2 linked regions of the Arabidopsis thaliana genome follow. The protein of the gene in region 1 interacts with the protein of each later gene in a pairwise test. Each region holds a gene or a part of one and is shown on either strand. Other genes may lie near its edges.

Region 1 (5,659 bases):
CCAGATTAAGACACGTGTTTCCTTCTCTTGTACTTCATCCTTCTAAGTTTTTTCTTTATTTTTTACTTTTGAAGAATGTGTATTCAGTCGTATATTAAAATAATTAAATTATCTAAATTTTGGGTGCACAAAAAAAAATATAATTTAAAATTTAATGAAGTTTTTTTATTTTTTTAATATCTATGAATTTAATAAAGTTTAAGATGATTTTATATACTTATTTCAAAATTTCTCCTCGCAAAATTTGCAAACGTTGGATTGCGAAAAAAAAATTTTTTACTCGAACTTTTCTCTTTAGAACATCTCCAACTCATCTTTATTTTTGTCTTTAAACTTTATTTTTGCCTCTATTTTACTCTAACTCATCTTTATTCTTACCTCTATTATAGAGATCTTTATTTTTTTTCTCTATATATAAAAATAGAAAATAAAAATCTCTATTTTTCCTTCTATATTTATAAAGAAAAATAGAGACAACCATTAGAAATGGTCTTTTCTATTTGCTAAAAGAATCTCCCAACGCAAATAACCAATTTTCTTGTAGAGGCGCTCTACCAGAAGCATAATTATGTTTATAAAATAACGAATATAAGGAAATATTCGTATTTTCTCTAATTTAAAATTCACTACAGAAGAAAGTGTAAAGAAATTTAGACACAAGTGGACTAACAAAAAGCTGAGAGTTAGAGGAAAGAAAAAGAAGATAAAACGATGTTACAGTTTTACAAACTAAACGAACCCACCGAAGACTGGTTTTATCTTCACGAAGGATTAAGCCTTAAGATACCGTTGTTTCCTCTAGTTTCCAATATAGCCGAGACGGTGAAGGACCATTGCTAAAACGAGCATTAATATTGCAAAGATCAATCCGCCTTTTCCGAACAACCACTTCTTTGCTTTCTTCGCTTTCTCCATCCCGGTTTGAGCCCGATCCGCCCATCGCATCTGCAACAACGTGTTTACAATTGAGACAACTATACAATCAACTTTGAATGTTCTTTTGGTTTTACTAAACCGAATTCGTACCATTTTCTCCAAGGCGTCGGGAGAAAGAGAAGCCATGGCTTGCTGAGCTTTTGCAGCGTCTTCTTGAGAAAGCTTCATTCCAAATTGTTCGCTCATGCTAGCCATCATCTCAGGGTTCATGTTCTTTATCATAGACGTGAACATCTACCAATATACAGAGAAACTACTATATGAACATCAACAATCACATTATGTTGACTAAATTGGTAAAACATAAACCGAAAATGATCAAACCTGTCGCATCGCTGGATCTTTCATTTGGTTTCTCATCTGTTCCTGTAAGTCAGCAGGCGGAGCAGAAGGGATGCTTGGTTCGAAACCGCTTCTTGGAGCCACAAAGGAATTTCCCGAAGAACTCCCACTCGCTCCTAAACTTTCCCGTGGTTCAGATGCTTCTGCATTGCCGTATGATGTTGAAGCTGGAGCGTTTGCTTTCAAAGACGATGCCATGTTAAACATCCTCTCACGCTCTTCTGGTGACATCTTACCCATCATATCAGATGCAAGTTTAAGCATGTCAGGTGTGGGTGTAAAACCGTTTTCGGTAGATGGCGCAGTCGGGGCGAAAGGGTTATCTCCTTTAAACGAAGAGGCTGTTTGAACCATTTTTTGAATCTCTTCAGGTGACATTTTGCCTATCATACTTGACGCAGTTTTGAACATGTCCGGTGACATGTCTCCAGCTTTGCCTCCGCTTAGAGCAGCAAGTGTATCGGGATCAGTTTTTGAAATGAAATTCTGGAAAGTTCTGCAGGCCATAGAAAGAATAAAAACAATTAGAAAATCATACTAATCGTGCCAAATGTAGCAGAAAAAGGATGCTTTAGATTATATTTGTCTTCAAGATTAGGAGACAAAAAGATGAAACAACACATCAAACACTAATGTTTGGAAAGGTGTCGAACCTGATTGCTTCTGGATTATCTCTGAGAGCTTGCAATCCATCAACATCAGTCTTTACGCCCTGAGCATGACCATTAGCCTCTTTTGACGGTTTTTTATTCTCTCCGGAAGTAACATTATTTTCTTCAGTTATGTCTTCAATCACCACACCTAATAACCAAACAACATAACATTTTTCAGTTCGTTTCCATATTCATGGACGAAGCATATCATTGATGTAGTAAAGAAACGTCTGGTCTGACATAATACACTGAATTCTTTCGAATAAATCATAAGGAATAATATTATACCTCTTGATGCCTTGCCAGGTCCCTCGACAGCCAATCTTTCCTTAACATCTCTGCATCAGAAAAGATAATACTTCAAGTCAAAAGTTATTTTTTCAATGTTAATATCAAAACCTCTGAGATAAGCAGAACTGAAAAGTATGACATTACCAGTAATGAATATAAAAATCCATACCTTAACACATCGGCAATTGTCTCATCTTCTGGGGAAACTTCATGGGCCTTGCTTAGATCAGAGACGGCATCCTTATAGTTTAAGAGAGTGAATGAGCATTGAGCAAACATATAGTCAGGACATATCTACAGTACAAACATATATATCGACAAGGAATCTCAAGAAAGTTCCATAAGCAACAGAAGAACTCACTTCAAACAAGCCCAAATCTCTGTAAGCTTGACCCCTTCTGTATAGGGCTTTGACATTCCTTGCATCATATCCCAAAACCTGAAATAATGTAAGAATGTAAATTTATCAGAAGAATGTCGAAACAGTTTTGAATAGATCATAAAACGCTGTATGACATCATGTGTTACATCTACAAAAAAGAAGCCAAAAGATTGCCATCTCTCTTTTTCCTAAAAATGTTTTCATCTATGAGTTTTCAGAAAATTAAGAGCATAAAGAATATACCTCAGAACCTTCCTTTATGCACTCTTCATGCTGATTCGTCTTCAAATAACACGACATTAGATTGAGAGAACAAGCCAACAAAATTGCTCCACCTTTAGAAGATGGAATCTCTTTCAGATTGTTCTTCGCCTGAGATATGGTCCAAGAGCATTGTAAACAAGTAGAAAAGAATCGCATATCAGGTTACAAATAAAACTCTTCTTGTCAAGTAGCATGACAAATGAGATACGTCTGCAGACTTACACGCAAGTATTTCTCTGCGGCATCGCTGAAATTTCCTCGGCTATGAAGCTCGTTTCCCTGCCAAACGTAGTAGAAAATGAGATTAACATCAAATTACACAAAGGTCCACTTGCTGAAGCCATTCTTGTTCCTTACTTTATAATCAGGAAAGCAAAATTCAATAGAAAACTTCTCTCAGGAAGTCAATTGTTACCTGTTTTTTAAGCATCTGAGCTGCATTGATCTGATAAGTAAATTGAGCATCAGCATGAGCACGCATAGCTGCAATATCTTCAGGGGAAGCTTTAGCCATCTTCTCGCTAATCTCAGCCATATCTTCAGGCCGAGTATGCTTAAGCTGTTCCGCAGCTTGTTTCAAATCTTCAGGCCTCATGTTCTTCATACTCTCTGTTGCCATATTCATCAAATCTGGATTTGACATCATCTGTATAATAAACAATGGTATAAATTCATCATACAAAGCCATAATCAAATCAAATCAAACAAATTCTCCTCAGAATCGATCGAATAATTCGAATCAGGAAAAATAACGAAACCTGTTGTTGGATCCTAGCGAAATCAGCAGGAGTCATACGACTCATCTGATCTTGAGCGAGCCGAATCATCTCAGGATCCATTAACCCGTTAAACATCGTGTTTTTTTTTCTCGAAGCTTCGATGTGGTTCTCTGTAATCAGATCGGAAACACAGAAAATCGAAATTCGCCAGAGAAGGATAAGCTCGGAATCTGGATCGAGATTGAGTTTGTGAGAATCGGAAAATCGAAGGAGAATTGTTTTGCCGACCCGAAAGTAGTTTCCAATAATATAGAATCGAATTGGAAAATTTATCGCTCAACCTCCTCAATTCACCGACCGGAATATGCCTGGATGATGGAGAATGACTGTTTTACCCTTGATCTACGATGATGCTGTGACGTGCCATAATAAATTAATTTACGTAATTGTATTGATTAACGTAACTATATGATTACGTGCAAATTGTCATGTCCTTGTCCATGTTGGAAGACTAATCTCGTGTTTTTTTTCTTCTTAAACTGAAACGAATCTCTTGTTAAACTCTTTTTTATTTCGTTTTAGAAAGAGTCGTCCAATTTAACTGTTACACGTGTTAAAGTGTCAATAAAATTCAATTTAAATTTGTTTGAGGGTACAAATAATTTTTTGATATTTTAAAATTCTTTAGGGTCTGGATATCGATATCATATGTTTGCCCAGCTACATCTCCATGATATAAGCTCCGAATGGTGATTGCGTTTTGCGGTGCGGGAGAAGTACGGTGCGGTTCAAATAGTAACGAAAATATATAGATACATATGAATATGTAGAGATTTTAATACTGTTACAGTACTGTTGCGGTGCGGTTTTAAGTGCGGTTTTGATTACCATTCAGAGCCATAATATATTTGTTGGAATCCAAAAATGTTTAGTATTCAGTTTCATAGACTCAATCTCTAAAGTAATCCATTTATTAAACTTTAAAATATGCATGTCTTCTGCAGAATTTTTAGTATCTTAAATATCAAAATGATCTTAACAAAAAAATACATATGTACAACTATTCGGGCAAAGAATTTTATTTCAATACGACAATCTTTTCAGTTGTTGAACGAGTTTTAGTGTTTTGACCATACAAAGAAAAAAGACGAGTTTTAGTGACATATAAGTTGTGTTTGGTAATACTTTTTTCAATATTGTTTCGATATAGTTTCATCGACGAGTACATCTATCAATTAATTTTTCTGAAATGTTTATTTCTCTCCACCGCAGCATAAATGTTTCAATGTTTGAAAGAATGGAAACGGTGGTATAGTCACATTAGAAGAGGACCACTTTGACTAAAGCTAGCTACAACTCTCATCTATCTCTCGTCTCCCAATTTTTCAATATTAGCAGAGATTATGATTCACTAAATGATAGCAGTCTGAGAGAAGTGAATGTTGATATGATTTATGATTATCAATTAACTAATCACTAAGTACTATTGCAGCGAGAACGAGGAAATTCTAGCAAACCTCTTCTTCTTGGTCACAATGAAACCAATGGATTAATAAAGTTATATCATATAACAAACAAGAAGGAAACAATATCTTCAACTTATAATTAATAAAGCAATATTGCTAAAGCATTCTGATACATGTTGTGCAACATCTCTCGAAGCTAGATTACAACATGCATGTGCTTCTAAATAGATTACAACAAAGCAACTTTTTAACATGTTTACACGAACCAAAATATGCATACACATATATAGCCTTGATTTTATAATTCACATAGCCCTTGTTATCCTTTAGAATACATCGTAGACACATTCTTACGTATTCTACTATTATATGGCAAAGCAATCTAGGATAATGAGTGAGTTGTATTTTTTGAATGTACCCTCTATTGTACAATGAAAACGAATGTAAATATTCAGTTTTGTTTTTGTTGCCCACATTTTATTGCCGTAAATTGCAAACTATTTTTTTAAAATTGATATGCTAGGGAAAAAATGAGTTAAAGAGCATGATGGAGGAAACAGAAAGAAGAAGGCTTTGAATTTTGATGGTTGTCGGGACGTGGAGAGG
Region 2 (6,218 bases), on another chromosome or scaffold:
AAGCGATATAGAATTGGGGAAAGCAAAATAAACAACAGAATAGAGAGAGAGAGAGAGAGTATCATCACGCGAATATCATCATCAACAAAACAGTTGAAGAGAGTTGGTGTGTAAAAAAGAGAGAGAGAGAGAGGGAGAGGGAAACCCACGTTTTGAAGAGACTCGATGACTCTGTCCATGTATATGATCTGAGACTGGTACGCCTCGAATGGGAATTCAACATTGATTCCTCTGATGCTGTAATTTGGCATTTTCGGGTCGGATTCCGCCGATAACACCACAAAACCTCTCCGGAGAAGACGAAGAAGAAGACGGAAGCAGACGCGCCTCTTCTGATTTTCCCGCCTTGTAGGGCTTCCACTTCTTGAAACAACCGTAAAGCCCATTATAACCCACTACTTTATTAACAAGGCCCATTACCTGATACCTGATGGTCTGTATTGGGGCCCCCAATAAACCCTAAACCCTAAACTATTTGGGGGAGTTAAAAAGTTTTGTTTTGTTTTGTAATGCTGTGTACCAAAATTTGTCCGAGTTAGTACGATTTTCTCCTTAGTCGCGTTTTGCTTGTATGTGTGTCTCTGAAGAAAAGTGATACAGAGAGAAAGAAAGAGAAGGGAGCCAATGAGAGAATATCAAAACTGTGAAAAAGAAGTTTCCGTCAAGATTCCAGGACAAAAGTATTGTATTTTTTGTTTTGTTTATCAATGTAAAATCTCATTTCTGTTTCACTCTTCCTCCGATCCCGACTCTTCAGAACTCGACTCTTTCTTCTGTTTCACACTCCCATTGGCCTTCTTCGACCCTCTCTTCTCATCCATATCTTTCTTCTCATCCTCATCTTCACTGTACTCACTTTCGTAATCATCATCGTAATCCTCCTCCTCAATCTCATCTTCCTCCTCCATACCTTCTTCTGCAATCGCACCCTCATCTGAAACCAACCCACGTGTCCCTGCCCTGGTTCTTTTCAGGACTTTCACTTTCAGTGCTTGCTTTTTGTCACACCCGATCCATGTGTCACACAGGCAGAAGCAAGTCAAGTTGTATGTTCCCTCTGCCGGTGCTTGGAGTTTACCCATGACCAGCCTTGACCCTCCTTTAACCTTCTCAATCGCTTCTCTCACTGCATCGTTTGTTTCCTTCACCCCTGCACCCGAACCTTCCATTGACTCACTGATGGCTTTTGATGCAGCCGTTATCGCTCCACCTTCATCCAGGAAGCTAACCTTCTGAGAGAACCAAACGTTGTTCGACACTGAATCAGCCAGAAGAACCCAATAGTTTTCCTCCTTGTGGAAGGGGAAGTAGGGTGCATGAGGAAGAGCGCCTACAAGCCCATTGGGTCGTTTCAGGGTGACCCAAGCTTGAAGGGTCACAATGTCTCCCTCTTGGATCCCCTCTTCCCCTTCTGTTTCACATGTGATGTCGACTGTAATAGACGGCATCATTTCTAGCACCTTCTCAATGTCCTCAACATCAGTTGCTGATAAACCCGCTACCTGAGTAAGTAGTTCAGAACGGTCTTCCAACCTCATTTCTTGAAGATCTTGGAATGATTTAACCTTCTGAAAATAGGAGAAACAATGACATGTTAACATAAAATGGAGGTTTATATATGTCTTTAGACTAGACCTTTAAGTAAACCAACCTAAAGAACCACTACTACTTATTTGGAGAACAGAATCCAACAAGATTCTCAGGAATCAAAAAGTGAGAGAAAAATGCACATGATATGGAACTAGATATTAGTACTGCACTTGACACATTTGATAGTAGTATACCTTCCGTGCTATCTTTTTGACAACGGCATCACTGAAATGAGGGAGCTGTAAGAAAGGGGAAATGCCTTCTGATGATACTCCAGAAGACTTCCTTGCACTAAGAGGAACAGCCTGCGATTTTGGATTTTTAGTTTATGTTCCTAGACAACAACACTAAGCACTTCTTAAACTTTCAGGAAGAAGTAAATCTTGTGGAGAAAAGAGACATAAAGAACTGAAAGCTCACAAACAAATAAAAACTAGAAGATAGGCGATGAGAGCAATTTAAGACCTGAACAATGCACTGAGATAGCTCAACTACTCCAACTGCAGGCCTCAGCCATCCATGCCCTTGGGCAGTGCGTGGTATAACCGCCATCTGCAAGAAACTCACAATGTTATAATGAAAGAATGGTTAAGAAAACCACAATTTAACAGTGTAACCAAAAGCATCACTATTAACCTAAATTTCTAAGTCTTTTAAGAGTCTGTTTCGAGTTCCTCTAAAGGAAAATACATATCTTCTAGGTTAGCACTTTGCGGTCATCGCTTTTTGATGGTTATTTTATCAGAAATTGTGTTATTTAAATAGAGACTAGACCTTCAATAACTCCTCAAGGAGGCGAGGTGCAAGCTCTAGCACACGCCTGAAATCACCCTGAAGGGCTGGAGACAGGACTCCTGATTCACGAGTTAACTGGGCTTGTATCAACAGCTCGGTCTGTACAGAAATTGAGGAAGTGAGTATTTCAGTTTATCCAATATTTAGCATTACAGTTGCATAATTTTAAAATTCACCTTCACTATGGCAGGATGCTGTTTCCAAAACTTAGCTTGCTCTTGCTTCATGTTCTTCAGGTCCAAATTTAGTTCACTCCTAACAGACATAAAGAGCTTCTGCAGAGGTTCATCATCAGTTCTACGAACTGGAATCTCCATGTACTCAGCTGCCTTGGTGAAAACTTCCATAACTTTGCTGGACAATAAAAATTTTAAAACATGTCATACAAACAAACGAAAACACAGCCCATTTGTCATGCACCAATAGCATCACTTGAATGTATATGGGTATGAGTGAATATACCTTGGGGCCAGAGAGGGTTTCATTAGATAATAATATGCGGAGAGTGTTTGATGCATAACGTAGTTCCCAGTATACTTTGATGACCTCGAGAGATATATAACAGCAATCACAAGGGGCAAGAGAATACAGACACCAACTATCCAAAGCAATAATATGCCACCAGATGCTCCATCAATGTCTAGAAGAAATTGAGGAAGAGCAATGCCCATTTGAAATCCCTGCGATCACATAACAATATTTTAGTCTCAATAGGCTTGTCAATAAGACGGGAGCACATGCGAAGGGAAAGGAGATGTATCCTTACCTGTCTGCCATCTGGATGACCATACTTCTCAAAGTTTTCACGGGATACTGAATCAGTCAAAGCCTGGTATGCTTTAGATATGAACTCCACAAAATATTTATTGGCTTCTGTAGAGATCAACAAATGCGCATAGAAGAAAAAACTATCAGGATCAAAAGCTGCAACCATAATTCCGTAATGATCAAAAGGGAAAAAAAAAATAACAAGGGGAAAAACTTGACCTGGATCTGGATTTTTATCAGGATGGTATTGAATCGACAGCCTTCTATATGCTTTCTTTATTTCTGAATCTGTAACTCCAGGTTCCAGTCCAAGTATACTGAATGGGTCAAAAACTTGAGCCTGTAACACAAAAGAAGGTAAATAAGCAAGTAGAATTAGTTGATATAAGTCAGCGGTGCATTCAAGTTCAACAGCAAGCAATGGGATTACCTCACGGCTCATGTTCTTAGTGTAATAAATCAAGAAAATCATCACGACCCAGAGTAGCACAAGTGTCAAGTTGCTCCACGTAGAGAAGTTAGAGATCTGCAGATAGATAAGTGAAGAAGAGGTTAGGAACATGCAATAATCTATTACAGAGCAGGAGGTTGAGTGGAAAGTAACCTTTTTAAACAAGGATCTCTTATATTTTCCAGAACGGTCACACTCGAGACACTGACAATGAATGGTCCTTTGTTTCTTGGAGAGAGCACCGCTTAACTTGACCATGGTGTAAGGCACCAAAGGAATTGCCATAATCGTCAAGATAAAAATGGGAAACAATGCGCTATTCTCTTCTGACGCCGCCATCTTTGGAGCCTTTAAACTGAGAGATTCTATTCTGCTGAAAGGAAAAGCTCTGTTATAATCTCACAACATCCAAAAAGCTTCAAGGATACAAAATTATCAATAACATGAAAAGCTGGATCTGAGGCCACTGAAATTAATTAGGGATTCTACATGACGGAGATCAACACTAATAGATCTCGGCTAATCTAGTCTAAAGGTATATGAATCCCTGGACTCACTTTGAGATCGACACAAAACCTTAGAAAACAAACAAACGAAACTACGGGAAGGAAGCAAAACCAATAATTGGTGAAAGAAGATGAAATCGAACTTGAAAGGATATTGTAGAAGAGGAAATCGAAGAAGAAGCTCACCTAGGATGATAGCTCTCTATAATCAGAGAGATCGCGCTGCTGCAGATCGGCAACAAACGGCGTTGCAGTTTTTTTTTCTTTATGCTTCTCTTCTCTTCTAATTTCTGATTTCTGATTGGTGAGTTCTTTCTTCTTTACTTGCTTATTCACTTTTCTTTACCTTCTCAATTAAAATATTTCGCAATTCATTTCTCTCTTTACATTTTTACGAGTTATTTATTTTCCATTAAATTAGAGTAATTATTAATAGCAAAGTTTTTATGGTGAACGAAAACGAATTTCCCAAAAAAAATCACATTTTTTATAAATTAGAAAGGAAAAAGAGAAAAGGATATGGATCAAAGAGGGATTATATGCTCTAGAGATTTAATGTGATCCAGATATTGTAATAGGGATTGCAACAAATCTCTTATATGTTCTAGAGATTTAATGTGATCTAGAGATTGTAAATAGTTACAACAAAATAGAGATTTAAACAAAACAAATATTTAATGATTTTAAGAAAACTGTTTTGTTGTAACTATTTATATTTCGACCAGAAATAAATTGTTCTACTTGCAAAATACATCAATCTTCGTTATTATTATCGATTTAATCATAAACTGTCTAATTCAATTAAATTTATAAGAGCATGGTTACCAATACTTTTTTATCTACTGTAACGAAAGCTAATAATGATTTTGAATGAGTTTGGTATGATTTGGTTATTCGATTCACTAAAATAGTCGTTTTAAATCTAGCCAAATATCGTATAATTTTACTTGTTTTGATTATATTAAATAATCAGTTATTTGAAAACTTTGTTGACATGTTAATATTATATATAACTAAAACAAAATATAGATATTAAAAACAAAGAAAATGTTATTATATAGCTATTATCGTTTTTCATACCATTTAAATTTTATTACTGGCTTTCATATTATGATATTGTTGTACATAGACACCACTGCTAAAATGCTTATTAACTTGAGATTTTGCTTGTGAGATTTGGAGGCTAATTTTTTTCTCGGTTAAGCATTTCTCGCATCATATGCCTTCCACATAGTTTGAGCTTTTGTTCACCAAATGTTCTTACCACTCTCAAGAAACTGGCAGCACACGAATATGCTTTCCACATGGTTTGAGCTTTTCTCTTGGACAAAAACTCGTTCACCAAATGTTCCTACCACTCTCAAGAAACTGGCAGCACACGCATATGCCTTCCACATAGTTTGAGCTTCTCTCTTGGACAAAAACTCGTTCACCAAATGTTCCTTCCACTCTCAAAAAAATGGCAGCACACGGTGGAGTTTACCACATTTGAAAACAAGTAAATAATGTCTTACATAATTCACAGTCACTGCTTTCTTCGATCATTTTCAAGAATTTTGACCGTGAAATTTGCAATACCATATCTTCAAGAAGACATCTAAAAGGTTTTCGCAATCTGGTGATTAGGTTAATGCTCTTTTGTAATACATTTCTTTCATTTTATATATGATATTAACATTTATAACAAAAGAAAACAATCATAGCATATTGCATGTCATTGCAAGTTTGCTATATACAGTAGTTTTAAACCGAGTAAACTTAAGATCAGGTAGGAAAGATGCAAATAAAGAAGCAAGTGATACCAAAAATATATGTAAACATTTAATATAGTTCTTCAATCTAATTGACGATTAGAAAGTACTGTACTAGATGATTACGATCCAAGATTTTTGTCCACACTAAGAATATTTCACAAAATAAGGTTTGCAACAGTAGGATTGAAATGCCAGTAAACAGTGACATTATCTCGAAAAAATCCAACTCAGAAATCATTTACTAGCTAATAATATTTTTCAAATAGTTTAGAATTATTATTGTTGTTTATCATTAACGCATACAAAGTTAGTTGTATAATCTTTCAACTTATAAATAATTTGGTTTTGGACGGA

What was found.
Region 2: the proteins of TPR7 (region 1) and ATERDJ2A interact in a protein complementation assay, tested with the Arabidopsis thaliana proteins (one study listed by BioGRID).

What each region holds. Positions count from the first base shown.
Region 1 is NC_003076.8:7,271,458-7,277,116, reverse strand, and holds TPR7 (Tetratricopeptide repeat (TPR)-like superfamily protein), read right to left. Parts: upstream 4,047-5,659; 5' UTR 3,723-4,046; coding exon 3,627-3,722; intron 3,515-3,626; coding exon 3,284-3,514; intron 3,148-3,283; coding exon 3,091-3,147; intron 2,977-3,090; coding exon 2,848-2,976; intron 2,662-2,847; coding exon 2,584-2,661; intron 2,463-2,583; coding exon 2,392-2,462; intron 2,270-2,391; coding exon 2,220-2,269; intron 2,080-2,219; coding exon 1,932-2,079; intron 1,775-1,931; coding exon 1,261-1,774; intron 1,171-1,260; coding exon 1,027-1,170; intron 946-1,026; coding exon 799-945; 3' UTR 538-798; downstream 1-537. UniProt on the Arabidopsis thaliana protein: Plays a role in protein import into the endoplasmic reticulum (ER). May function as chaperone docking protein during post-translational protein translocation into the ER. Chaperone receptor mediating Hsp70-dependent protein targeting to chloroplasts.
Region 2 is NC_003070.9:30,067,748-30,073,965, reverse strand, and holds ATERDJ2A (DnaJ / Sec63 Brl domains-containing protein), read right to left. Parts: upstream 4,448-6,218; 5' UTR 4,297-4,447; exon of another isoform or gene 4,254-4,296; intron 3,978-4,253; exon of another isoform or gene 3,975-3,977; 5' UTR 3,944-3,974; coding exon 3,758-3,943; intron 3,680-3,757; coding exon 3,584-3,679; intron 3,494-3,583; coding exon 3,373-3,493; intron 3,259-3,372; coding exon 3,152-3,258; intron 3,066-3,151; coding exon 2,848-3,065; intron 2,740-2,847; coding exon 2,562-2,739; intron 2,485-2,561; coding exon 2,365-2,484; intron 2,143-2,364; coding exon 2,056-2,142; intron 1,896-2,055; coding exon 1,785-1,895; intron 1,569-1,784; coding exon 729-1,568; 3' UTR 526-728; downstream 1-525. Other genes in the region: AT1G79950 (RAD3-like DNA-binding helicase protein), read right to left, coding at 150-386. UniProt on the Arabidopsis thaliana protein: Required for integral membrane and secreted preprotein translocation across the endoplasmic reticulum membrane.